2 linked regions of the Ovis aries genome follow. The protein of the gene in region 1 interacts with the protein of each later gene in a biochemical or structural test. Links are inferred from orthologs where the notes say so. Each region holds a gene or a part of one and is shown in the gene's direction. Other genes may lie near its edges.

What was found.
Region 2: the proteins of MC4R (region 1) and POMC form a complex in vitro, tested with the Homo sapiens proteins (2 studies listed by BioGRID). The link is inferred for Ovis aries from reciprocal best matches to the Homo sapiens genes MC4R and POMC.

What each region holds. Positions count from the first base shown.
Region 1 is NC_056076.1:59,475,088-59,487,796, reverse strand, and holds MC4R (melanocortin receptor 4), read left to right. Parts: upstream 1-6,451; 5' UTR 6,452-6,838; coding exon 6,839-7,837; 3' UTR 7,838-10,320; downstream 10,321-12,709.
Region 2 is NC_056056.1:32,602,103-32,614,809, reverse strand, and holds POMC (pro-opiomelanocortin), read left to right. Parts: upstream 1-5,475; 5' UTR 5,476-5,583; intron 5,584-9,169; 5' UTR 9,170-9,219; coding exon 9,220-9,351; intron 9,352-11,766; coding exon 11,767-12,426; 3' UTR 12,427-12,600; downstream 12,601-12,707.

The sequences.
Region 1 (12,709 bases):
AGTCGCTCAGTCGTGTCCGACTCTTAGCGACCCCATGGACTGCAGCCCACCAGGCTCCTCCACAGACCTCCGCTAATTGCTCTCTGAAATTCATTGCCACACTTGCTCCAGGACCAGGCTTCCCCAGCCAATCACCGTGCGCAGCAGGAATGACGTCACCTCAGGTCAAGGACCCTCCCCTTCAGCCTTTCTTCCCTCCGCCCTCACTCAAGGTCAGGCTCAGATTGTGATTTGACACCTCTTTCAGCTTTTCCTGGCTCAATTCCTCCCCCACTTTTTTTTTCCCTCATAGACTTCTCCTCAGTAAAGTCATACACACAATCCTAACTTGGTATCTTCCTTCCAGAAGCCCTAGACTAACACCAACATTATTTATTCATTTGCCTATTTTTTCCCTTGCATTTGCCGCTCAAATACGTTGTGTTCCTCACGATTCTGTTCACAATTTCCCTTTTCCTTCCATCTTAGTAGAAACCTACAGCTTTCAGTACAGCTTGTATCTACCACAACCAAAATATGTGTCTTTTTACCAGAGTGTTCCTTTGGGCTGTATATTCATCTTTGCTAAATAGATATTTCCATCTGGCTCCATAGACTGCAGCCCGCCAGGCTTCCCTGTCCTTCACTACCTCCCAGAGCTTGCTCAAACTCATATCCATTGAGTCGGTGATGCCATCCAACCATCTCATCCTCTGTCATCCCCTTCTCCTCCTGCCTTTTATCTTTCCCAGAATCAGGGAACTCTTTTCCAAGGAGTTGGCTCTTTGCATCACTTGGTCGAAGTATCAGAACTTCAGCTTCCATGTAGATGTCTCAAAAACACAAATTTCAAAATTGTTGAAAACCAAATGTATCTTGTCTCTTAAAAGGATTCCTTAATCAGGTATAACAATCATAGTTCAGTGTGAAAGACAGACACACTGTCGGTCTGTCAGGCAGAAAGGGACTTAATACAGGAAACAGGTGCTTACAAAATTTTGGAGTAGCCGTGGACCTTCAACTAATTTATTTCATTCCAGTTTTACACCACCCGAGCTGCAGTCCACAGACGAGGAGACGCTGCTGGTCCTGTTATCTCTGATTCACAGAGAGGGTGACCTGATGCCTAAAGCTGGAGTCGCTTCAGTCGCTGGTGCCAGAGTTGGCAGCCTATAGATCCTGTCGGGCAGCTGCTATGGCCACAGGAAGGTGACTTCTGTCTCACCTTATGCTTTCCAAATCTCTTGAGAATATATCTAATTGGGAAAAACCAATTCACATACAGAATGCAGGCTGCAAGGAAATCTGAGCCACATAGACTTCAGCTTGCTGAAGTCTGAATTGGTGGATGTTTAAATGGAGACTGAGAGAGCCAATCCATGTGTGTACCAGATAAACGGCACCAACATCTACCCATTCCCTGAAGGCAAAAGTGGAGGTCATGGAAGATTGCTTTCTCTTCCTCATTCTGTTCATGACTGATTAGTAGTCTCGCCTGCAGCAAAGCAAGTACTGGCTGACCTCAGGCCTTCACAGACTCTTCTGTGGGCTGCTGCCATAGTATCTTGGGATTCCCACGTGGCGTTAGTGGTAAAGAACCTGCCTGTCAGTGCAAGAGACTTAAGAGACGCGGGTTCAGTCCCTGGGTGGGGACGATCCCTTGGAGGAGTGCATGGCAGCCCACTCCAGTATTCTTGCCTGGAGAATCCCATGGACAGAGGAGCCTGGCAGGCTATGGTCCATAGGGTGGCAAAGAGTCGGACATGACTGAAGCAACTTAGCACACACACACACACACACAATAGTAGTTTTCTGTATTCAGGAAGTAAGTGGAGTAAGCAACACTGAATTTTTTTCTAGTCAGAAATTTCAGAAAGTTTACATACTAATGTATACTCTGCAATTTCAAGAAGGCAATGAGTTCTTAGTTCTTTCCAAAATTCTATGACTTTTTTTTCTGTGGTAGGAATAACAGTAACATCTAAAAATAGTGGTCTATGTAGCACAGTTTGATAAATACTTCTCTTTAGCAATGTTTCATATTTATTGTTACAAAATGTAAAACAAGGACTATGCTCAGAGGAGAAATATATTATGATTAACTCAATTTAGTGTGTACTTAGAAAAAAGACATCTGCAATAAATTTTCAAAAATACCACTAATGGCTCTAGTATTTCTTTTGGCTTCTACAAAACTAAACTCTGTCACACAATTAAAATTCCTCCTTGAGATGACAAAAATCTTTCCAGCATGATTAACCATATAATCAAGGTTTTATAAAATCTACATCAAGTAACTCAATTTGAGATTTTAAATGTACATGGTTTTCTGGGATTTCAATGTGATTAAAATGCCTATAAATTAAATCTTTTTTTTTTTTTTGGTGAAAAGCCAAAATAAACAGAGTTTTATCTTCAATACTAATTTTATCTATTATATAATTATATATATAATATGCCTGTTAATAATTTTACAACATAATGATGACTCTGCAGTCACAAATACGGGCAAAGCGCATTATAAGCAGGGAGAATTGAGTAGGCTCATGACATTGACTCTTGACTGCAATGAGGTTTCCATGAAGGAGAATAGTGACAAGTGAGCTTTTTAAGGAGAAAAAAGAAGAGTTAGACACACTGACAGAAATGAAGGTATTTTACAAGTGATTTCATGTAGGGATTTTTGAGAAAGATGGACAAGTCAAAGATATTCTGAATTTTCAGCCTTAGGAAATGGAACAACCATGTCACCAGGAGAAGTAGGGAGCGTAAAGTCAAGGGCTGACTCAGGAAGTGTATATAGAGTTGGATATTTATGCTTAAACGTTTCAAGAGATGTTTTCCCTATTGCTTGCTTATTAGGTATTTCACCACTCACACAAATCCAAAATGGGAGAAGGAAAGAATTTTCAGGTAATTCGGATATGCTGCTTGTAAATAGGTGCATGTGTGTGTGCTTCATCGCTCCACCGTGTCCAGCTCTTTGCGACCTCATGGACTGTAGCCTGCCAGGCTCCTCTGTCCATGGGGATTCTCCAGGCAAGAATACTGGAGTGGGTTGCCATTCCTTTGTCCAGGGGATCTTCCTCATCCGGGAATCGAACCTGCATCTCCTACCTTGCAGGCAGATTCTTTACTGTCTGAGCCACCAGGGAAGCCCAAAATAAGTTTCAAAATCAAGGCAATTAATGCTAGCTGCTGTGATAGGTAACACCAATATTTTGGCAGCTTAATACAGTAATAATTATTGCTTGCTTTTATCAAGGTTCAGTGCAGTTGGCGGGCCAGGGCATGGAGGGAGCTGGAGATGTGAGTTGTGTTCTGTGCAGTCATTCAGAGACCAGGGTCCTTCATGATATGGTTCTAACATCTATAACATGAAGCTTCAAAGACATTCTAGAGTCATCCATGAGGAGATCAGAGGGAAAACGTGTAGAATCTTACAAAAGAGACAACACCACTCTCACTTCTACCCACATTCCATTAGTCAGGATTCGGCCCCACGCAATCTCAGTGATAGATGAAAGATGTTAATTTCACTCAGTGCTCAGGAATCATACTTACCGTTGCCTCTGTCACCAAAGGGAAAGAAGATAAAGCCCTTACCCAAGTAACTGAAGACTTCAACTTTGAAATAAGTATTTTTTTATTGTCCCTTATTATCAATAGACACAAACTCTACAGAGATAAAACCAAAGGTAGTCATGGCAAGAAAATGTACTATATAAAATTTCATAACGTGGAGTTTAAATTTGAAAAGTAACTTCCTCACAATCTTTCAAAACATTCAGAAATTCTGATGTATAACTAGCATTCACTCATCTTGGCTTGAATAAAGTTACCAAGGAATGCGTGAGTTGTATTTAGAAGCCTTCAGTTAATGAAGCAGGTTTGTTGTTTAGTCATAAGTTGCGCCTAACTCTTTTGCAACCCCATGTGTTGGAGCCCACCAGGCTCCTCTGTCCACGTGCTTTCCCAGGCAAGAATACTGGAGCGAGTTGCCATTTCCTCCTCCAGGGGATCTTCCCTACCCGGGGATCGAACCCACGTCTCCTGCCTTGGCAGGCAGATTCCTTGCCATCTGAGCCACTTGGGGAGCCCCAAAGTGGGACACAGAGAAAGCCAAAGGCTGCCTCTTCCTCTGTTTTATCAAGATTGGACCTACAGCTATTGTCTAAACTCCACACCAAAAATAATGCTGAGTTCTTGTTATCACTCTTGTAGTTAGGATCGATTGTCCGTGAGAACAAAGGGATGGCATAGCAGACAAGGCAAATATCAGAAGAGACGTGCCACCTGTCCTGTCCAGGTGCGTGCTTGCCTGTTATGTCCTTGTTGTTTAGCTGCATCTGACTCTTTGAAACCCCATGGACTCCTCCATGCACCAGGCTCCCCTGTCCACGGGATGTCCCAGGCAAGGATACTGGAGTGAGTTGCCATTTCCTTCTCCAGGGGATCTTCCTGACGCAGGGATCGAACCTGTGTCTCCTGCACTGGCAGGCAGATTCTTTACCACTGAGCCACCTGGGACACTCCAATGAAGTAGATAGATTGTTTTCAAAAAAAAAAAAAAAAACAAAAAACACCTGAATTCCAAATTCTCCACACCTTAGCCAACACTTGTTATCTTTTCTTTTTTGGATAACAGCCATCCTGACAGGTGGAGAAGGTAATGGCACCCCACTCCAGTACTCTTGCCTGGAAAACCCCATGGACAGAGGAGCCTGGTGGGCTGCAATCCATGGGGTTGCTAAGAGTCGGACACGACTGAAGCGACTTAGCAGCAGCAACGGCAGCATCCTGACAGGCGTGAGGTGATACTTCAGCGCCGTTTTGCTCTGCGTTTGCCTTATGATGAGTGTTGCTGAGCACCTTTTCTTATATCTGATAGCGATTTCTAGGTCTTCTTGGGAGAAATGTCTGTTCGAGCCCTTTGCCTATTTTTCAATCAGGTTATTTAGCTTTTTTGCTACTCAGTTACATATTTTGTGTATTAACCCCAAATCAGATAGATGGTTTGCAAATATCTCCCATTTTATAGATCGTCTTTTTGCACTGTTGATTATTTCCTTTGCTGTTCAGGAACTTTTCAGTTTGATGTAATCTCGCTTGTCTCTTTTTGGTTTTGTTACCTATAATTTGGCTGTCAATTACAAGAAATCATTGCCAAGACCGCTGCCAAGGAACTGCTGCCTAAAGGGTGTAAACTTTCAGTTATGCAGGATGAAGAAGTTTTAGAGATCTGCTGTATAACACAATGCTTATAGTTAATAGTATAAATTGTGCACTTTAAAATATATTATGTAGAGCTCACATTACGTGTTATCACACACCTAAAAAGAAAACACAAAAGAGTACAAGGAAATTTTTGGAGGTGATGAATATGCTGAGTACCTTGACTGTGATGTATCATGGAGATACATGCTCATTTTAATGAGTCCAAACTCATTAAAATGGATGCCTTAAATATGTGTAAGTTTTGTATTTCAATTACACCTTAATAATGCTTTAAAAACCTGAGTGTTGCCTAGCTATTGATCTTTTTCTTTCTGAGTTCAAAGTAATCATTGTTTACATTAATACTATATGGTTTTTAAATGTCATAAATGAAAACAAAACTTTTCCAGCTATGATACAAAGAAATTCTGCAATGGAGAAATAGCTGATCTTAGTGCATAAGAAATTAACTCCTTCTGAGCCCTGGTATAAACTGTGACTGCCTGTCTAGTCCTTGCACCCACAGCATAGTCTCCTGCATTATTAAACATTCTGTGTGTCAGCTGTCTCAAACTGAAGCGTGACTGCCTTTCTTCTCAATTCAGATAAATTGAGAAGGTAAATAAATTCAATGTCCTGGTCAAAAAAGCAGTGTATCTCTTCTCTTTTTTCATTTTTATTGGAGTCAGGTTTTTTTTTGTTTTTTTTTTTTTTTAACAATGTTGGGTTTTTTTGGTGTTTCTTTTCTTTTTTTTTTTTTTTTGCTGTGCAGCAAAGCAAATCAGACATGTATACATATACCCCCTCTTTTTCGTATTTCCTTCCCATTTTGGTTACCATAGAGCATTAGGGAGCGTTCCCTGTGGGGGGGTGGGGAAAGGCAGTGCATCTAACTCAGGAACACACACACACCCCTCCTTTAAGCAGGATAAATCTGGGTGCCTCAGGAAGGCTTGTTGTGATCTCAGATGTCCTCTGGGAACCAAGTTGCTTTCCTTGAGAACTTGCAGGGGAAATTTAGCCTCTCACATCCTGCTGGCTGCCTGACTCCACAGGCTTCTGCCTCTGAATTGGGGTTGCCTGCAGTTTGTGTCTCTGGACCATCGCGGGTGTCTCACAGACCCCACTGGACTCGGATTGGTCAGAAGGAAGCAGAGGAGGAGTCACTCTGAGCATTTTTTTTTTTTTTTCCCTTCACACACCATAAAAATCAGCAGCAGCTTCTGGCACTCAAAGCAAAGCTTCAGGTTCGGAACCGGCACCTCTGCGAGGCAGCTGATGAGAGCATGCGCACACAGAGCCGGCTCCCAGCCGTAGCGCAGCCACCAGGCAAATCATTCTGCAAAGACCTGCATGCCTCCGACTCAAGTTGAAGTGGAAGGGAGAACAAAAAAGCCAGCGGCAGGCTCGACGGAGAAGGAGTATCTTGCAGCCTAGGATTTCCAAGTGATGCCGACCAGAGCCGCACCTGAAAGAGACTGAAAACTTCCTCTCCAGCTCCGGAGCTCGGGACGTTTATTCACAGCAGGCATGCCACTGTCGGCCACCTAACTTTCGTTTGGGGCAAGTCAAGACTGGAGAAAGGCGCTGAGGCTGCCGGACCCGGGAGGTTCAGTCAGTCCAGAGGGGACCTGAATCCAAGATGAACTCCACCCAGCCCCATGGAATGCACACCTCTCTCCACTCCTGGAACCGCAGCGGCCACGGGCTGCCCACCAATGTCAGTGAGTCCCCGGCAAAAGGCTACTCGGACGGGGGGTGCTATGAGCAGCTCTTTGTCTCTCCCGAGGTGTTTGTGACTCTGGGGGTCATCAGCTTGTTGGAGAATATTCTGGTGATTGTGGCCATCGCCAAGAATAAGAATCTGCACTCACCCATGTACTTTTTCATCTGCAGCCTGGCTGTGGCTGACATGTTGGTGAGCGTTTCCAACGGGTCCGAAACCATTGTCATCACCCTGCTGAACAGCACAGACACGGACGCGCAGAGCTTCACGGTGAATATTGACAACGTCATCGACTCGGTGATCTGCAGCTCCTTGCTCGCCTCCATCTGCAGCTTGCTGTCGATCGCGGTGGACAGGTACTTCACCATCTTCTATGCGCTCCAGTACCATAGCATCATGACGGTGCGGCGGGTGGCGATCACCATCAGTGCCATCTGGGCGGCCTGCACGGTGTCGGGCGTCTTGTTCATCATTTACTCAGACAGCAGCGCTGTCATCATCTGCCTCATCACCGTGTTCTTCACCATGCTGGCTCTCATGGCGTCTCTCTACGTCCACATGTTCCTCATGGCCAGGCTCCACATTAAGAGGATCGCGGTCCTGCCAGGCACCGGCGCCATCCGCCAGGGCGCCAACATGAAGGGGGCGATCACGCTGACCATCCTGATCGGGGTCTTTGTTGTCTGCTGGGCCCCCTTCTTCCTGCACCTGATATTCTACATCTCCTGCCCCCAGAACCCCTACTGCGTGTGCTTCATGTCTCACTTTAACCTGTATCTCATCCTGATCATGTGTAATTCTGTCATCGACCCTCTGATCTACGCCCTGCGGAGCCAGGAACTGAGGAAAACCTTCAAAGAGATCATTTGCTGCTCTCCTCTAGGTGGCCTCTGTGATTTGTCTAGCAGATATTAAATGGGGACAAACTGCGGTGCCAAACACAAGCTTAAGAGACCTTCTCCTTCTCATGTGTACAATCTGAACAGTCTGTATGAGCCACAGCTTTTTCTTCTGTGTAGGGCATGGAGTGAAAAATTCTCTTGTATCAGTTGAAGTTTGTGATTTTTTTCTGATGTGAAGCAGTGCCCAGTCTTGCTGTATTTTTAATATCATGCTACTTTCTGGCTGTAAAATGTGAATCCTCATCACAGGTTATAGGCACTATGGATTTATAAAAAGAAAAAGAAACAAAGTCCTTATGAGGAGTTTAACAGTGTTTCCTTCTTGTGATTTACAAGGGTGTGACAGTTTGCTTGTTTTTGTAACATGGAAATCACAGCTTCCTTAAGTATATTCTCATGAGTGGATTTAATGTTATACTTTACAACACTGGAGTATAAAATTTGATTCTAGTATTTAGGGGAGAAATATTGAGAACATATTGCTTAATCATAAAAAAAAAAACCAAGCTGAAATTTCAGGTAATTTAATAAGACTTGCTCATTCATTCTTCCTGTGCCGAAGTTGAAATGAAACTTCTACTGGGACAAAAACGGTGACTTTAAAACAAAAAAAAAAAAAAAAGGAGGGGGGATATTTTGAGTCAGAAAACTCTGTGTGTTTCTCAGAGACAGAGAGATTAATTTGCTCAAGCAAAGAGACTGATATTTCTCACAGGCAATTCAGTTTGGGATTAAAAAAAAAATAGCAGCTATGAGGATCCAAGTGTTCTGGGAAATCTAAATTAACAAGGCAAGCTAAGCTTCCTGATATCAAACTGTGTACAACTGTCCCTAATAAAGACAGAGAACAAGGTCTTCCTGCCCCTTTAACCAGGGCCCCAGAGCCTGCTGAAATGTCTAGAACAGGTGATGCCCCACTGAGATCCGGCTTCTGCTCCCTAAAGAACTACACAATTCATGCTGAGTTCTTTCACTTTCCACATGCAAGTGACTTACTATTTCCCTATTACTTATTTTTTGAACTGGACTTTACGTACTCATTAGCAAGGATTTTAGCTTTGAAGACTAAATCTATAGCATAAGGATTTTAGGCAATATTTGTAAAAATCTAAAAGAAGGGAACTCTTGGTGCTAGAATGTTATAAATACGGAAAAAAACCTGACCTGAACCCCAGAGGACATCATGACATAAACTAGCCTTCCACAACTATATTTTAGAGAGAAATACTTGCTTTGCTCCAAAATAATGCCACAGATTTGTCTACTGAACAATAAAATCTGTACTTTCCAATTTGCATGTATTTTGAGAAATGTACCAGTGAATTATCTTTTGATTTACTTTAGAGTCTCCTCAGATGCTCATGAGAAGAGAAAACATGACAAGGTACTGCTTAATTCAAATTTCTAAATGTTTTGCATATTGACAGCAAGTCCTGAGAAGCACTGTCAGTACTGATGAGGAAACACTACTTTAAAATGTAACAGTAAGATTAAAGCTTACACATGAAAGCTGATACTGAAGCCTGATTCACTGCCATGCCTCTATTTTGACATAGAAATGTGCGAGGCTTTAAATTATATTTAAAGAGACCCCACGTTGTGGCAGGACACGGTAGGTGTTTCTGTCTTTGCTACTCTTCCTGTCCATTCTTTCACGTGATTGCGAGCAACCCCGGAAACTGGAGACATGGGGGAGAGCTAGAGGCACCCCACCTTCTGCGGGGGCTGTCCTTCCAGTCCCCTCTGCTTCTCCAGCAGGGGTCATTTCAGACGCTGCCCGGTCCACTGAGGACCAGCCCACTTCTGCCACTGACAGGAAATCAGCCTCCTGTATCTTGCCTCCAGCACTTCCTCCTGGAGCAGTTTACAGGGATGGGGGGAGTCTTAGTCAAGAGCCGTGTGCCCAGCCCCCCTCCCCTACACGCCCAGGGCCCAGTATCAGGCTTCTGTTTCTTTAAGTGCTAAGACCATGCCTTTCTCATTTTTTCCTGTTCTCCAAACATTCCTCTGTGACGTTTCTTCTTCTTTCTCCAGTAAAACCAAGATTCTCCCAAAGGGATACATCATTATCACTCAAAGTCCATAGATTACATTAGGGTTCATTCTCAAGTGTTGTATATTCCATGTGCTTTGGCAGACAATGTCAGTGGCAATTGTTTCACTGCCTGAAGAATCCTCTGTGTTCCACCTGTTCCCCCCTCTTTTCCTCCTACCTGCTGGCTACCTGTGACCTTTTTACTGTTGCAATAGTTTTGCCTTTTCCAGAATGTCCTATAGTTGTGACCATACACTATATAACCTTCAGACTGGCTTCTTTCACTGGATAATATGCATTTAAGAGTGCTTCAGATATGTTTATGGTTTGGTAGCTGATTTCTTTTTGGTATTGAATAGTACTTAGTTGTATGACTGTCATATAGTTTATCTGTTTGCCTACTGAAGAACATCTTGGTTGCTTCCAGATTTTGGCAACTGTGAATAAAGCTGCTACAAACACTTGTGTGTGGACATAAGTCTTTATTTTACACCAAGGAGCAGGAATGAACCTTTAAAAAGCTTCAGTATAAATACTGTGATATATGTGTTGATCCTTTAATATTTTGCTAAGGGGGGTTACTTAGCATTTACCAATGCTGGTCAGGAGTATATACTCCAAATGTAAATAGTGAGCAGCGTCAGATACCTTTATTGAAATTTTCACCAGAAAATTCAATGAAGTATAAATCCTATTAGAAATAATTTTTCATTAGTGATAGAAGTGATTTTCAAGACATTGATTTAAAAAGTCAAATAACAATTGCCGTAACTTGCATGAACAAGGTTTTTATCTTGCACTTTTGTTCACCTGGCAGGTACCAACCATGACTCTGGGCTACGAATAGTCATTACCTACTTCAGAAAAAAAACTCTTTCTGGCCCAAACTAAATATTTTGAAATTACTAAAACATTTCTGAAAAATTATTTAATAACATGTAAATAAGTACCGACTTCTGTTTTGTGTTACAAGGGAAAGGGAAGTCGCTCAGTCATGTCTGACTCTTGGCGACCCCATGGACTGCAGCCTACCAGGCTCCTCCGAGGAATACACAAAAAAGAATATTTACTATGATACCAACTATCTAAAGTTCCACCAATATACATACATACCTCCTGTATATTACTTCCAATAACTCATGAGCAATCAGTAGTCATTATTCTTGGGCAATAATATGAAGGAGCTTGTTTACTTTCTTTACGGAGGGTGTTTCTATTGTGTAAATTTGCTACAATGAACATATTTTGATTATTAGTTTTTTAGAAGTACACATAAGCATTCCAACAAAAAGGTGCTGATGACAGTGTAATCGCCAAATTACCAGTGATTTGTGGAGCGAGAGTAGATAGAAGAGAAGTTAGTTTTGAGCCAGAACAGATATTAGATACCATCTCACCTAACCCTCTAAGACCCAGAGAGACTGTCTGACCTCGCCTGTGAAATCACTGGCAGCATCAAAACTTAAGAGCCAGTTCCCGACTCTGGATTTTCCTGCATCAAATTGTACGAGCCTCCTTTTGTAGACAGTACAGTTTCCTCAATCACATAACCTATGGCTGAATTATGGTTACATCACTTTTTAGCTGTGAGATTGTGTTGGGTTAGCTTTCTCATTGTTAATGTGCAAAATAATACCTGTCTTTTCAAAGGAGAAAAGACAATTATCAGATCAAAGATTAAAGCTCAACACAACAGTGCCCAATAAATATAGGCACTCAAAAACAGTGATTATTAGTACTTTTAGGAATACCAAGTATACGAACAAATTCATGGATGAATGAAGACCTGTCGGTTTTGCTCTCTCTCAGCATTATTAGAAAATACACATATGCCTTGGGCTTAATCATATGTTTTCGTAAACTATCTTTGAGGAACTCCCCTGGTGGTACAGGGGTTAAATTCCAGGCACCTAATGCAGGGAGCCCAGGTTCGATTCCTAGTCAGGGAACTGGATCCCACATGCTGAAACTAAGACCCAATGCAGCCAAATAATCTTTTTTAATTTATTTTAAATTTTATAGTTTTCTTGAATTTGACAGAATTTGGGGGGGGTATAAATGGGCATATTTAAACATAGAGAATACACAGGCATACCTGTATTTTTAAAAGCTAATTTTTTATCCTTAGTAGTACTAATTGTTTTAAAATTTGCAGGGCCACATTCAATACTGGAAAAGGCTAAATAGAAAGATAATATTCTAAGCATGAAATAACCAATCAGCCCATTTCTTCAAAGATTAATTGGTTAAACTTTATGCCATCAATCTGTGTTAGTAGAATAACATTATCTAAACTGATATTGTTGATATTAAATGTAAACCCTTTAAAAAGAATCATAAGTGATTAAGTTATAGTCACATCTTTTTTTTAAGTATAGTCACATCTTGACGCTCAGTTATCAGTTTATCATGCATTGATCCAAGCGTATGCTTGCATATAAAACGAGCACACAGCATCTGGACTAGGGGAACACTGGGTTCAAATTTCATTTACCAGCTCCAGAACTTTGAGCAAGTTTCCTGAGCATCTATAGTCCAAACAGTGAAATGAAGATAATACCCATCGTCTCATCATATGTGTGGGTGCTAAGACACTTCAGTCGTTTCCAACTCTTTGCGACCCTATGGACTGTAGCCTGCCAGGCTCCTCTGTCCATGGGATTCTCCAAGAGAGAATACTGGAGTGGGCTGCCATGCCCTCCTCCAGGGAATCCAGAGACCCAGGGATCAAACCTGTGTCTCTGCCATCTCTCACGTCTCCTGTACTGGCAGGGGGGTTCTTTACCACTAGCGTCCCCTGGGAAGCCCCATCTCATAGTTAACGACAAGTACATAATCTATTGAAATGAT
Region 2 (12,707 bases), on another chromosome or scaffold:
GGCAGTGGGTGAGCAGAATTAGGACCAGCTGTTCTGGCTTCAGAGTTGTGCACTTTTTTTTTTTCTTTTTTGGCACCATACACACACACAAAAATCTATATTTTTATATTGGATGGGGGAGTAGAAAAGAAAGTAGCCCCTATACTGGGCCCTATTCAGTGGCAGCTTCTTGTTCCATAAGGTTAAGGAAGACTTTCAGGAAATAAAAGTTGTTTGGAAAAATCCAGGTGGAGTTGCTTTGTATGTTGTGATGGGTTGAAGGGATGAAGTGAAGTGTGAAGGACCCTCGCACCCTCCATCTTGCCTCAGACTATGTCCTGGAACCCTGGGGGCAGAGAAAGCGCCACTCTCATTCCTGCTTCTTGGGATTGTTGACGGCCACGTGGTGATAGAGAGCGACAAGCAAGAAGAGCGACACGCCCAGCATGTTGGCGAAGATGGCGAACTACACATCTGTGATCATGTTGATCAGCTGGGTTCAGCTCCCCAGAGCTGTGTTCTTAACCCTGACACCACATTGTGTCATCCACATGACCTCAGATGGGGAGAGTGTCCGTGACTTCTTCCCTGACACTGATGCCACCTCTTAAGTATTTCATGAAGCTGCCTCTGTCTGTTCTCCTGCCCCACTTTTCCCACTGCTGGCTGGACTGGTCCCCAGGCCCTGGAGCAGAGCACTGGACTCTGAATCACCCCTTGCTGGCTCCAGGCTCCCACTCCTCTGATCATCCTCCTCACTGCCACAGAAAGCTGGTCCTGCGGCTCCTTTGACCCAATCGCTGAATGGTCCCCAGCTCCTCGCCTCTGGCCTCTGACCGTTTCCAGTCTTTTCCCTCTCTCCCTCTACCACCTGTACCAGCATTCTGTGACCATAAGGCTTTTCCTGCCTTGAGGCCTTTGCACATGCTGTTCCTTCTGCCTGGAATGACTTTCCTCTCTTCATCCCGGTATCAAGACTCAACCCACCTCAGCATCCCTTTCTTGGGGAAGCCCTTGCTGACTCCCTCTAGCCAGCAGAGCAAGTCACTTCCTGATGCATGTTTGGGAGGCCTGAGGCTCTGTGGAAGCAGTCTAGCTCCCCTAAGGCATGCTGAAGAGGTCACATGGCTAGACTGCATGGAGATAGATATGTCTGAGGATCCCCAGCTCTCCTTGCCCCCAGCTGAGTCTTCCCAGTCAGGAACCAGCTACATGAGTGAGTGGCTTCAGATGACTTGTAGAAGCCAGGCTTTGAGCTGCCCAAGCTGATGCCAAGTAGAGCAGGGATGTGTAGGCCCTGCCAAACCTTGGCCATACTGCAGATTTGTGAGCGAAATAAATGTTGTTTAAAGCCATCACATTGGACTTCCTTGGAGGTTCAGTGATTAAGACTCTGCACTTCCAATGCAGGGCATGTGGGTTCAGTCCCTGGTTAGGGAAGGTCCCACATGCCATGTGGCCAAAATGTTAAAACCAAATAAATAAAATTGGGTCTCAGCAAAAACAAACAAACAAACAAAAAAACCATCAAGTTTTGAGGGTAGGTTATGATATAGTATTAAATAGCCAGAACAAATATTATTAACACTCTGGTATCTTTTCACTTTTTCTCTATTTCTATTTCTCTCTATTTATAGTCATTCCCTCCATTTCTGTGGACAATTGGTTTCAGAACCCCCTTAGATACCAAAATCCACAGATGTTTGCGTTCCACAGTCAGCTTCCCCTATCTGCAGTCCCACCGCCATTGTCTAACCACGATCACGTAGGACAGTCGCACATATTTACTTAAAAAAATAGGAGTATAAGCGGACCCGTGCAGCACAAGGGTCAACTGTATATTCATGTTTTATCATGTTTCCTCCCCTCAACATACAGTGGTTATTTTTTATGTCTAAACATCTACTTTATTTTGAGTAACTGCAAAATACTCCATTGCATAGCTTTACCATAATTTTTATAAGTATACTCTACTGTTTTTATAATTACACCCTAGATGTTTAGTGTATTTCATTGCTACTATGAACAATATTGTGTGAATAGTCTTAGACAGCATTTAAAGGATAACTGTAAGATATTTCCTCAGGAAATTTTGGGTTAAAAGGTAAAGACTTTGGTACAGAATCGCTCATCTTCCCATGGCTTTTCTTACAAGTCTCCTGTGTCTATATCTCCTCCTTTTTTGGAAGAGGAAAGCATTCCACTGCTGGGAAGCCAGGTTCTTCGTCTGAACCTCACTCTACTTAAGACTTGGATCATTTGGTTTTTCTGACTCTCATCTGCAGCATCAGTTTTCCCTTCTCGACTCTATTATTCCCATCAGCATGCAACCATGTCCTAGTAACTCTCTGCCATCTTTATCCTACGTTCTATATTAGATTTCTAGAAAGAGTCTTTTTTTAAAGCCAGGATCAAAAGTAGAAGTAGTTAAATTCACAAGATTAATGGGGAGACTTAAAAAACATATATATATTAGTAACTAATTAAGATGATAAATAATCAGAAAGAATATAGGTATAGAAAGGATATAGAATATTTGAGAAATCATATAATACATATTCTTTTGAAGTTTACATAAAGCATTAATCAAAATGGGCCATATGTTCATCCATTAAGCAGTTCCCCCGATTTCAAGGGACTAGAAGCAAAGTATGTTCTTTGACCACAGAGGAATTATGCTAAAATGTAGTTTCAAAACAGATCTAAAAAACCCCCAGTGTTTGAAAGTTAAACAGAGCACTTCTCAATAACCTACAGGTCAATTAAGATATTTCAATGAAAACAAAATATTTTAAACCAAATGGTAATAAAAATATGATATATCAAAACTTGTGAGATGCAACTGGAGCTATACTTAGAAATTTATAGCCATAAATACACAGGTCAAAAAGAATAAAAGTTGAGTATCAATTATCTAAGTAAAAGCATTTATTTATAATATCCAACTCAAGAGAATAGAAAGAGTAGTTAATTAGAAATTAGAAGATAAGAAATTATAATAAAAGTGGAAATTTTAAAAATAAAAAAGTAAATGTAACAGAATATCATCACCATTGAAATTCATTCTTTAAAAATACTAATAAAATTGTAAGCCCCTAATAAAATAAATAAAAAAGAGAGAGGATCTATTAATAAATTATCAGTATCAGAGATAAAAGAGGACCATAGAGATTCCATAGATCCTAAGATGATAATAAGAAGATATAATAAAAATTTCAAGCCAAAATATTTTAAAAATTTAAGTGAAATGGACAAATACCTAGAAGTACTAAACTTACACAAAGAGAAATAGACAATTGGAATAGTGTTATTTAAGTAATTGAATCTGTAGTTTAAAGCCACTCAACAAACAAGCAACCTTAAAGACCTAGATCCAAAACAAATGTTTCAGATAACATTTAAGGAAGAGATAAACACCATTGTATACAAACTCTTCTATTAAATTAGAAAAAATGGGAGTCAGTGGAGGGATTTCCAACTTGTTTTAGAAAGACAGCAAAATTTTGACACCAAAACCTAACAGGAATCTTACAAGAAAGGAAAATTATAGGTTGAGCTCATAAACATAGATGCAAAAATATTAGATAAAATATTAATAAACTGAACCCAATGCTACATAATGGTAGCACATCATAATCAAATTGGGCTCATAGAATAGGAATGCATGGTAGGTGCAACACTAAAAATCAACAATGTAATTTACCACATTATCGGGGAAGAGAGGGATAAATCATATTATCATCTCAGACAATCAGAAGCACCTGCTCTAGGCTTTCAAAGAGAAGCTAGTGATACAACGAAGCAAGGGCGGTGACATCCTTTCTGTGACATCAGTCAAAATGGGAATGGCAAGCGCCCAATCTGGACTTAGAAGTGTCATCTGTGTCCAATGCCTGACTTTGTGGCCTCTTGTTCCCAGAAGTGGTCTGTTTGTCTTTCTCATTGGATCCGACCAGTGGCCATGATTCCAGACACCCTTTTTCTCTGCCCAGTTTTGGATCCTGGTTGCCCAGCTTTCCCAGTGATTCTAAATGTGATTCAATAGTCTGTGAGTTTACATCCCCTAAAGTTGGTTCTGCTGCACCTAACTAAGAACCCAACTGACAGAGCAGGACAGAAGCTGGGTCAATCTGAACTTTTCCCAGTCTGGCTCTTTTGCTACCATCAGCTGCCTCTTAAAGTTATAAAAATAGTACAGAGAAAAATGAGGATCTCTGATTGAGAGGGCTCATAAGCCTGGCAGTGGCAGGGGTGGGGCAGGAGTGGCTGGAAGAGGAAAGATGGAAAACAGAGTGAATTTGTTCCAGCTGTGCAAGCTACATATACAGATAAGATGAGTGTGGGCTTCTCTGGAAAAGAGATGATCATGTTTCATGTCTTGGAAGGACAATTGACCAAGGAGATCTTCAGGGAACTGGTGATGATGGATAAGCTAAATCTTAATGCAAGAGTCTAATTTTCCCAGGTGGTTGGAAGGAGAAAGGGTGTTTTAGGAAGGAATAGCATAGACAAAGAGGTGAGGCCTTGAGAAAATAGTGTTTATGGGAATGTGAATGCTGTGAATGGTCAAAGTGCCAGGAAACAAGATAGAGAGGGAAGAGATGCCCTGGAAAGAAGCCAAGGCCAGGTAATAATACCTTATTTAACTATTAAGGAGCGTGAATCTCTCCTGACTCCAAAGAAAAGGATTGCTGAGTATAAAGCCAGTGTTGCCAACCAGAAATTCTCAAGGGTGTCCTGAAGTCCAAAAGAGCATCTGGGAATAAAGAAATTTCTTGCAAATGACACATTAAGCAAGAACCTTTTTGAAGTCCAGTTTAGTTCCAGCACTCCTGTTCACCCCCACTGCTTCCCACAATTTGCTTTTGCTTCTTTACTCCAGGTTAAGGTAGAGACTCCTCCATTGCAGTTTTGAGTGCCATTCTTTCCTCCTTGGCTTGACAGTAGGGCCCTCCAATTTGTAACAGAGGGATTGTAAGGACTCCTGACATTTTCTCATCACAGTTTCCAAACGTTGGGGAAAATCAGAGGCATCACAGACGCACTCCCTGGGTGGTGATATTTACCTCCAAATGAGAAAAAGGCAGATGCCAGCCCAAGCAGGCACACAGGTAACTTCGCCCTCTCGTTAATGATCTCAGCCGGCCGGCCAGGCCAGCCCCATACCGGGGTGCTAAGCCTCCCGCTCACCGAAACTGGAGACCCAAAACCATCCTTAATTAAGTTCTTTCCTGACGGCTGCCAGGTGTGCCCTTCAGCAAGAGAGTGTTAATTCCAGCCTCCGGGGGACAGAGATCCAGACCCCTTTCCAGGCACGTCTGCTCTCCAGCTCAGCCGCTACCTGGAAACCCCCTCCCGCGCCCCCACGCCCCCGCCCCTTCCTATGGACGGGGGAGTTGCCTGTTACGTTACAGCTGCCGGGAAGTCCACTCAACGTCTAGCGCCCACCCGGGCGGGCCCCGCAAGTATATAAAGACCGCGGAGAGCGAGTGGGACAAGACGGCGCAACGGAGGAGAACGAAAGGAAGAAAAGTGACCGAGAGGCCGCTGAACATCCTCGCCCCGGCGCAGCGGGAGCCGCCCGAGGCAGCTTCCCCGTGACAGGTAAGGGCGCAGCGGCGGGGAACTTCAATCTTATCCCCGGATCCCCTGCTCCGGGGGCCTCGGGATGCTGTCGCCCAGCTCCGATCTCAGAGGCATCTTTTGTCTCGGCGCCGTCCTGAATTCTTTGAAAACTTTCTGTGCTGAGCGCGGCGTGGGAAGCCGCTGGTAGCGGAGCGGCGAGGACCGGCCTCTCTGGACGGCCGGAGAGCCGCAGCGACGCTGAAAGTGGTGCCTTTCAGCAGCTGGCGGCCGCGTCTGTCCTGGGCAGAGGAACTCCTGAGGAGTCCTATCCGTATTCTGGGGAGATTCCAGGAGACCCAGTCTTTTGGGACTTCTGATTTGCCGGGTAGGTGTCACTTCTTAAAAGATACGGTATACCCTAGCGTAAATTGATGTTGGAAACGGGGGCAAAAGAGAAGAGGCTAAAAGTGACAACAAACTCCCTGCGTTCAGACTTCTTTGAATTCAGACTTCTGAAACTTCGTTTCCCTGCCCACCTTAGCGCCCCCGACGTGGCTGCGCTTAGAGAATGACACCGTCTGCTCTATATGAGCTGCTGGTGTTAAAAAGAGGTGGCCCCGATGGGAACTGTCCACGGTCCTGAACCACCCCGTCTCTGCTCTCAATAGGACCGCAGAACGGACCTCCAATCCCGCAGACCTTAGAGAGCAGGGCAGCAGCAGCAGCCGTAGGAGGCGGTGGAAGCTCAGGCAAGATGCAGGCTCAGGCAAGGTGGGTTCCCAGTGAGGGAGGGAGAGTCTGCAGAGCATTTGGATCCCCCAAATTCTTCCTGTATAAATGGGGAGCTGGTGGTTCTCACAGAAGTGCTGGAAGAAGCACTTGTTTGTGTTGAGATCTACAGATCACGGCTTATTTAATGATGTAATACTCCTTTGACATTGTTTTAGGACTTGATGGGTGTGTATCATGGTATCAGGACAAAACTCTGCATCTCTGTTCCTCTAATCTCTTACAGACTGGCATGGCCAGTGTGCAATATTAGAGGGCCAATTTTAGAGGGGGGTGGGGGACAGAAGGACTGGGAGTGTGGGATTAGCAGAGGCAAACTATTATATATAGGGTGGATTAAACAACAAGGTCCTCAGTATCATCCGATAAACCATAATGGAAAAGAATATTAAAAATGAAATTAAATAAAACAAAATATGTTTTCTTTAGCTCATAGAGAATTCACCAACACATATGAATTCCTAATTAGTGTAGTTCTATTATAAAGTTAATGTCAAGATTAGCAAATTACAAGTTTATATTCATTTTTCCAAGCTTTCAATTATTCAACACTCCTTACAAAAAGCACATTTGACATCTACCTATTATTTTATTGCTTTAAAAACATGCAATGTAATATTTGTTTATTGTAGAAAAATACAAAATATACATGAGCAGAAAGAAGATAAGTTGCTTTCAGGAAGCTACCTAGTTTTTTAGCAGGAGATTGCAGCTCTGAGACGTGGTGAGTGAGGATGTTATCATGTTGTATTATATAGCCCATGGGGCAAGAGAGGAAACACTGTCTGAGACTTTTCAGGAAGGTCTGATATCATGAGGTAGGTTTTTAGAAAATGGAAGTCATCTCAGACTGGCCAACTTTGAGAAGAATTGAAATATAGTTGAGGGGATTGTCAGATCTGTATGACTTTACTTTCTTCTCTACTAAGATGCTATTTTACACTTGTCCATAGTATATAAGGCCTTCCTACGTGGCACTAGTGGTTTAAAAAAAAAAAACAAACCCAATTGCCAATGCAGGAGATGCAGGAGCCTTGGGTTGGATCCCTGGATTGGTAAGATTCCCTGGAGGAGGGCATGGCAACCCACTCTAGTTATTCTTTCCTGGAGAATTCTATAGACAGAGGAGCCTGAGGGGCTACAGTCCATGAGTTTGCAAAAGAGTTGGACACAACTTAGTGGCTAAACAATAACAACAACATAGTAACATAAAACTACCACTTTTCTGCTTCTCTTTTAAACTTGGGCATTTTTTTCTGACCAAAATGTGCTGTGTGGTCTCAGAGATTTAACACAATTTACCTTGTCCATCAAATTCAGGCTTTGTACTTGAACTGGAGCACCAAAAGTCTACAACAGGAGCATCCTGTCCTCGGTCACAACTGGACACCAGGTTGACCAATGTTCTCCTAGTTACCCTGTGATGCAGATAGGCCAGCTCACTGGCTACCAGCACCATCTAATGGCTGCTCTGAAAACACTCGGGCTGCGCTTGGCAACCATTCAGAAGGGAGCCCTTTCGGCTCAGCTTTTGGGAAAAGGAGTGGGGTGGGCCAGAGAGAAGGAAGTGGCTTCCTGAAGCAGACAATGAGAGGCAGGGGAAATTTCACTTCCAAAGCTGTCTCTATAAAAAAGATTTGGCTCATGCCTTCACAGATAGGAGATTCCTTTGGGCAAATATTTTTAAATCAGAAGAGACAATTAGTCATCTACACCTTAATATAAATTTCTTATTAGATTTCTTCCATAATGGCTGGGTTGAAAAGATCTAAAATCTAGAATGACTGTGGAGTGCATGGTAACAGAGCTTAGGGTCATTTTGGAGGGGAGACCTCTGTGAGGGGTGGCAGGGCAGTATGAAAGCTAAAGGGATGGGGAAAATGTTGGGCACAGTGGGCAAAAGGCAGCATTGATTCTCCCTTTTACTGCATCTGGATCTCTTTAATTAAGCATCTGCCCAGTGGTGCTTCCTGATTTCTCTAAGAAAGTGTCTTTGGCAGGAGTTCATGATGTGATGTAGTTCCCTTCTGCTCTGTGTGATCATGTCCTTCCTTTCCACACCAACAGCATCTTCAGGTCCAGCTATTTCAGACTACATTTGAGAGACTCAGAGAACAAGAGGAAGTCTGATGTATATTGCACTCAGGAGATGAACTTGTTTCAAATGGGGATCTACTTTAAAAATAAATCTCCAAAGTCACAGGGGTCTGGGAAATAGTGATTCCCTGAGTGACTTATGTACAGGACATCAAACTAGGTTGGCTGAGGTTTTGGCTTGGTTGGACAGTTTCATTTGCCATTATGCAAACCTACTAGTCATAGGAATTGGAGTTCCTGAGGAATGATAGAATCCTGGTGGAGAGGAGTAGACCACCTCGAGGAGGAGTTTCACAGTCCTTTGTCTTTCCCAAGTTACTCCTTGAATCTGGAGTGTTAGAACTTTAGTTTCCTGAAGATGGGGAAATAGAAAAGCTCAGTGACGGAAACAAGAGAACTTGGCCATACCTCATTGTGAAAAACCCAAGTCATTTGTCTCACTCTGTCTCAGTTTCCTCATCTCTCAAATAAGGGGCCATACCAAACGACCCCCAAAATAGCTTCCAGCCCTAACATCCTTTGGTGTCTGATTTTTAATAGAAGATAAAGGGAAAATTGTGCAGTTTACCCAGGTCCCACTGCCCTCTTTATTACAACTCACACGACCACCCTGCACACCAACCTGCTCCTTGAGCTGCTCTTGTCCTCAAAAAGCCTCGAGCTCCACAAATGAGAGTATTGTTAATGTTGGCTCATGGTCCTTCCTGATGAGTGGCCAACATTGTTCTGCTCCTTGCAGGGGTCCCACTCATCTTGTTTGCCTCTGCAGAGCCTCAGCCTGCCTGGAAGATGCCGAGACTGTGCAGCAGTCGTTCGGGCGCCCTGCTGCTGGTCTTGCTGCTTCAGGCCTCCATGGAAGTGCGTGGTTGGTGCCTGGAGAGCAGCCAGTGTCAGGACCTCACCACGGAAAGTAACCTGCTGGTACGTGGGCTGTGGCCGCCATCTTGATTTGGGTATCAAATGGTACTGGGGTGGGGACAGCACAAAGAAAGGAGCATGCAAAAGGGGAGATTCATTTCCAGAGATATGGCTAACTCAATCAAGGGCAGGAATAGACCTCTAGGGCGAAGTAAGAATTGGGCCAAGGAAGGGAGGAAGCAACTTCAGGGAGATGGGTCTGGTCCATAATGTCTTCTCGATTTTCTTTACTTCCTGCCCTGTCTTCTTGTATAGAGAGCCACTCTTTTTAAACTATTTAGAGATAGTGCTATTAAAATAAACAACACTAATGATAGTAATAACCATAATTGCTCCCTCGACTGACCCTACCTATTCTTTCAATCTTTTAGCCTTCAAATTATTCCTTTTTAGATGACCTCATATCACCTTCCATTTCCATTCCATTTTTCTTTCCTTATATCTGCTACCAGTTACAAAGTCAGGAAGATAATACCACAAACCAGCTCTAGAAGGAAAAACTCAGGTGCCATTTTCCACTAACTGGTGCCAAATGCCTCCTGCTTCTCGAGGACTGACCTTCTGCAGCCTTTCCATAGCATCTCAAAGCCCTTTGTGCCAGGCTGGAACTCCCTGTAGGTCACCATAGCTTGCGTGTGTATTTGTTATTATTTATTTGTATTGGGAAGTATAAATGAGGAACAATACCAGCTCAAGGCTACAAGAAACACTTCTGGTGGCCATGACTGAGTTCCAACCTACTGCCTGTACCTGCCTGGCGAGGGTGGAATGCACACCACTACATTCTGTGTGTTTTGTCAGCAGAGAAGCTGAGTTAAGGTGGAGAAAGACTTTCTCAAAAACAGAGCAGGTTGCACGTAGAATATAAAATAGAAGTAAAGAGCCCAGGAATCCCATGAGCTCTGTTTCCGAGAGACCCAAGACACTCTTGATTAGAGACACCCACTGCACAGTCTTTCCTGTTGAGAGCTCACCAGGGAAGCAGCACTGGCGGTGGTCAGAGTCTGTGGGTTCTAGTCCCAGTCCCAGTTCTGTCAATGGGCGGTGGAACCTTACCAAGTTCCCTTCTCCTCTCTGAGAAATTGTGTATCATTATATGTCCAGGGGAGAGAAGTATGAGATAATTTGTTTCTCACTGTTACTATTCTGCAGTGTTATAATTCTAAATTTCTGGAGTATGAAGTTCCCAGCTCAACAGAGTGGGTGGGATCCTTCTTTTTCCTCCTTTGTTGTCCCGAGTATCTGAAAACTCAAGGCTACAGCCTCAAGATCATTTTCCTAAGCAAATGTGTGCCACAATTGTCTAGTCACAGAAAGCAGACAGGGCTCCACGTACAGGACTCCATGACCCCTGCGATGGAAATAATCCTGACTTCCTATCCTTCCATCCAGTTAGAAAGGCACAGGGAAGTGAGTCGCCCCCTCCCTAAGCTCACTGATTGAGGAAAAGACAGGATCAGCTTGGAAGACCTGAAAGAACCAGAGAAAGTGCCAGATGGGTGTGGGCAAGTTTGGAGGGAGATGGCTAGGGGAGGGCATGAGGTATGTTTACAGACCACTGGGGTACGGCTGACACATTGAAACTACAGACCCTGGAAGCCAGATTTCTCCCAAATTTCAACCCAATGCCCTTCCCAGACTCAAACTGAACCATATTTATTTCCTCAATATTCATTAAGTGCCAACAACTCCCACCCACCTGCCATTTATTGATGAATTCCTATATATCTGGCTTATAAAGTTTAGGACGTTTACCCTACCCACAAAGTGAAGTTGCTCAGTCGTGTCCGACTCTTTGCGACCCCATGAACTGTAGCCTACCAGGCTCCTCCGTCCATGGGATTTTCCAGGCAAGAGTACTGGAGTGGGTTGCCATTTCCTTCTCCAGGGGATCTGCCCGACCCAGGGGTCGGGCCCGGGTCTCCCGCGTTGGCAGACGCTTTACCGTCTGAGCCATGTCACTCTAAAGCAGAGATGGGGACTTCCCTGGTGGTTCAGTGGTTAAGAATCCACCTGCCAATGCAGGGAAGAGGGGCTCCATCCCTGGTCTGGGAAGATCCCACATGCGGACAAGCGACTAAGCCCATGAGCCACGACTACTGAATAGACTACCCACAAAGCTACAATGCAAGTACACCAGAAAGTGGGACGGGGATTTTGTTGTAGCTGCCGGGCAGGGGTACCAGGAGCCCAGGGGACAAAAAAGGCGCTGTCCGAGCTGAGTCTCAGACGTCTGAGGAAGCTCAGAGGTGGGAGTGGTAGATATGCTCTGCAGTTAGCCCAGTAGGCCCAAGCTCCCAAGCGCCCAGTGGGCGACCCCGCACGTGCGGAGGGAGTGGGGGGCGCAGGCGGCTAGCGTGAGCGGCGGGGGAACGCCTGGAATGGGTGGGGCCTGACGCGCTCGCCGCTCTCCCGTAGGCGTGCATCCGGGCCTGCAAGCCCGACCTCTCGGCCGAGACGCCGGTGTTCCCCGGCAACGGCGATGAGCAGCCGCTGACTGAGAACCCCCGGAAGTACGTCATGGGCCATTTCCGCTGGGACCGCTTCGGCCGTCGGAATGGTAGCAGCAGCTTCGGAGCTGGGGGCGCGGCCCAGAAGCGCGAGGAGGAAGTGGCGGTGGGCGAAGGCCCCGGGCCCCGCGGCGATGGCGCCGAGACGGGTCCGCGAGAGGACAAGCGTTCTTACTCCATGGAACACTTCCGCTGGGGCAAGCCGGTGGGCAAGAAGCGGCGCCCGGTGAAGGTGTACCCCAACGGCGCCGAGGACGAGTCGGCCCAGGCCTTTCCCCTCGAATTCAAGAGGGAGCTGACCGGGGAGAGGCTCGAGCAGGCGCGCGGCCCCGAGGCCCAGGCTGAGAGCGCGGCCGCCCGGGCTGAGCTGGAGTATGGTCTGGTGGCAGAGGCTGAGGCGGCCGAGAAGAAGGACTCGGGGCCCTATAAGATGGAACACTTCCGCTGGGGCAGCCCGCCCAAGGACAAGCGCTACGGCGGGTTCATGACCTCGGAGAAGAGCCAAACGCCCCTTGTCACGCTGTTCAAAAACGCCATCATCAAGAACGCCCACAAGAAGGGCCAGTGAGGGCGCAGCGGGCAGGGGCCTCTCTCCGCGGAAGGTTGACCCCGAAGGCCTCTCTTCTGTCCTCCTGTCGCCTCGCAGCCCGGGTGAGGACTTGCCCAGGCAGTGATGGCGCCAGGTATCCCGACTCTTAAAGCTGTCTGTAGTTAAGAAATAAAACCTTTCAAGTTTCACGAATATTGACTGGGTGAATTAAAAATGCATTTCCATCAAGTAAAGGGCAGCACGTATTGGAGGGGCTATAGTGGTTTCCATGTGACTACGTGTTAGTATGTTTAACAGGA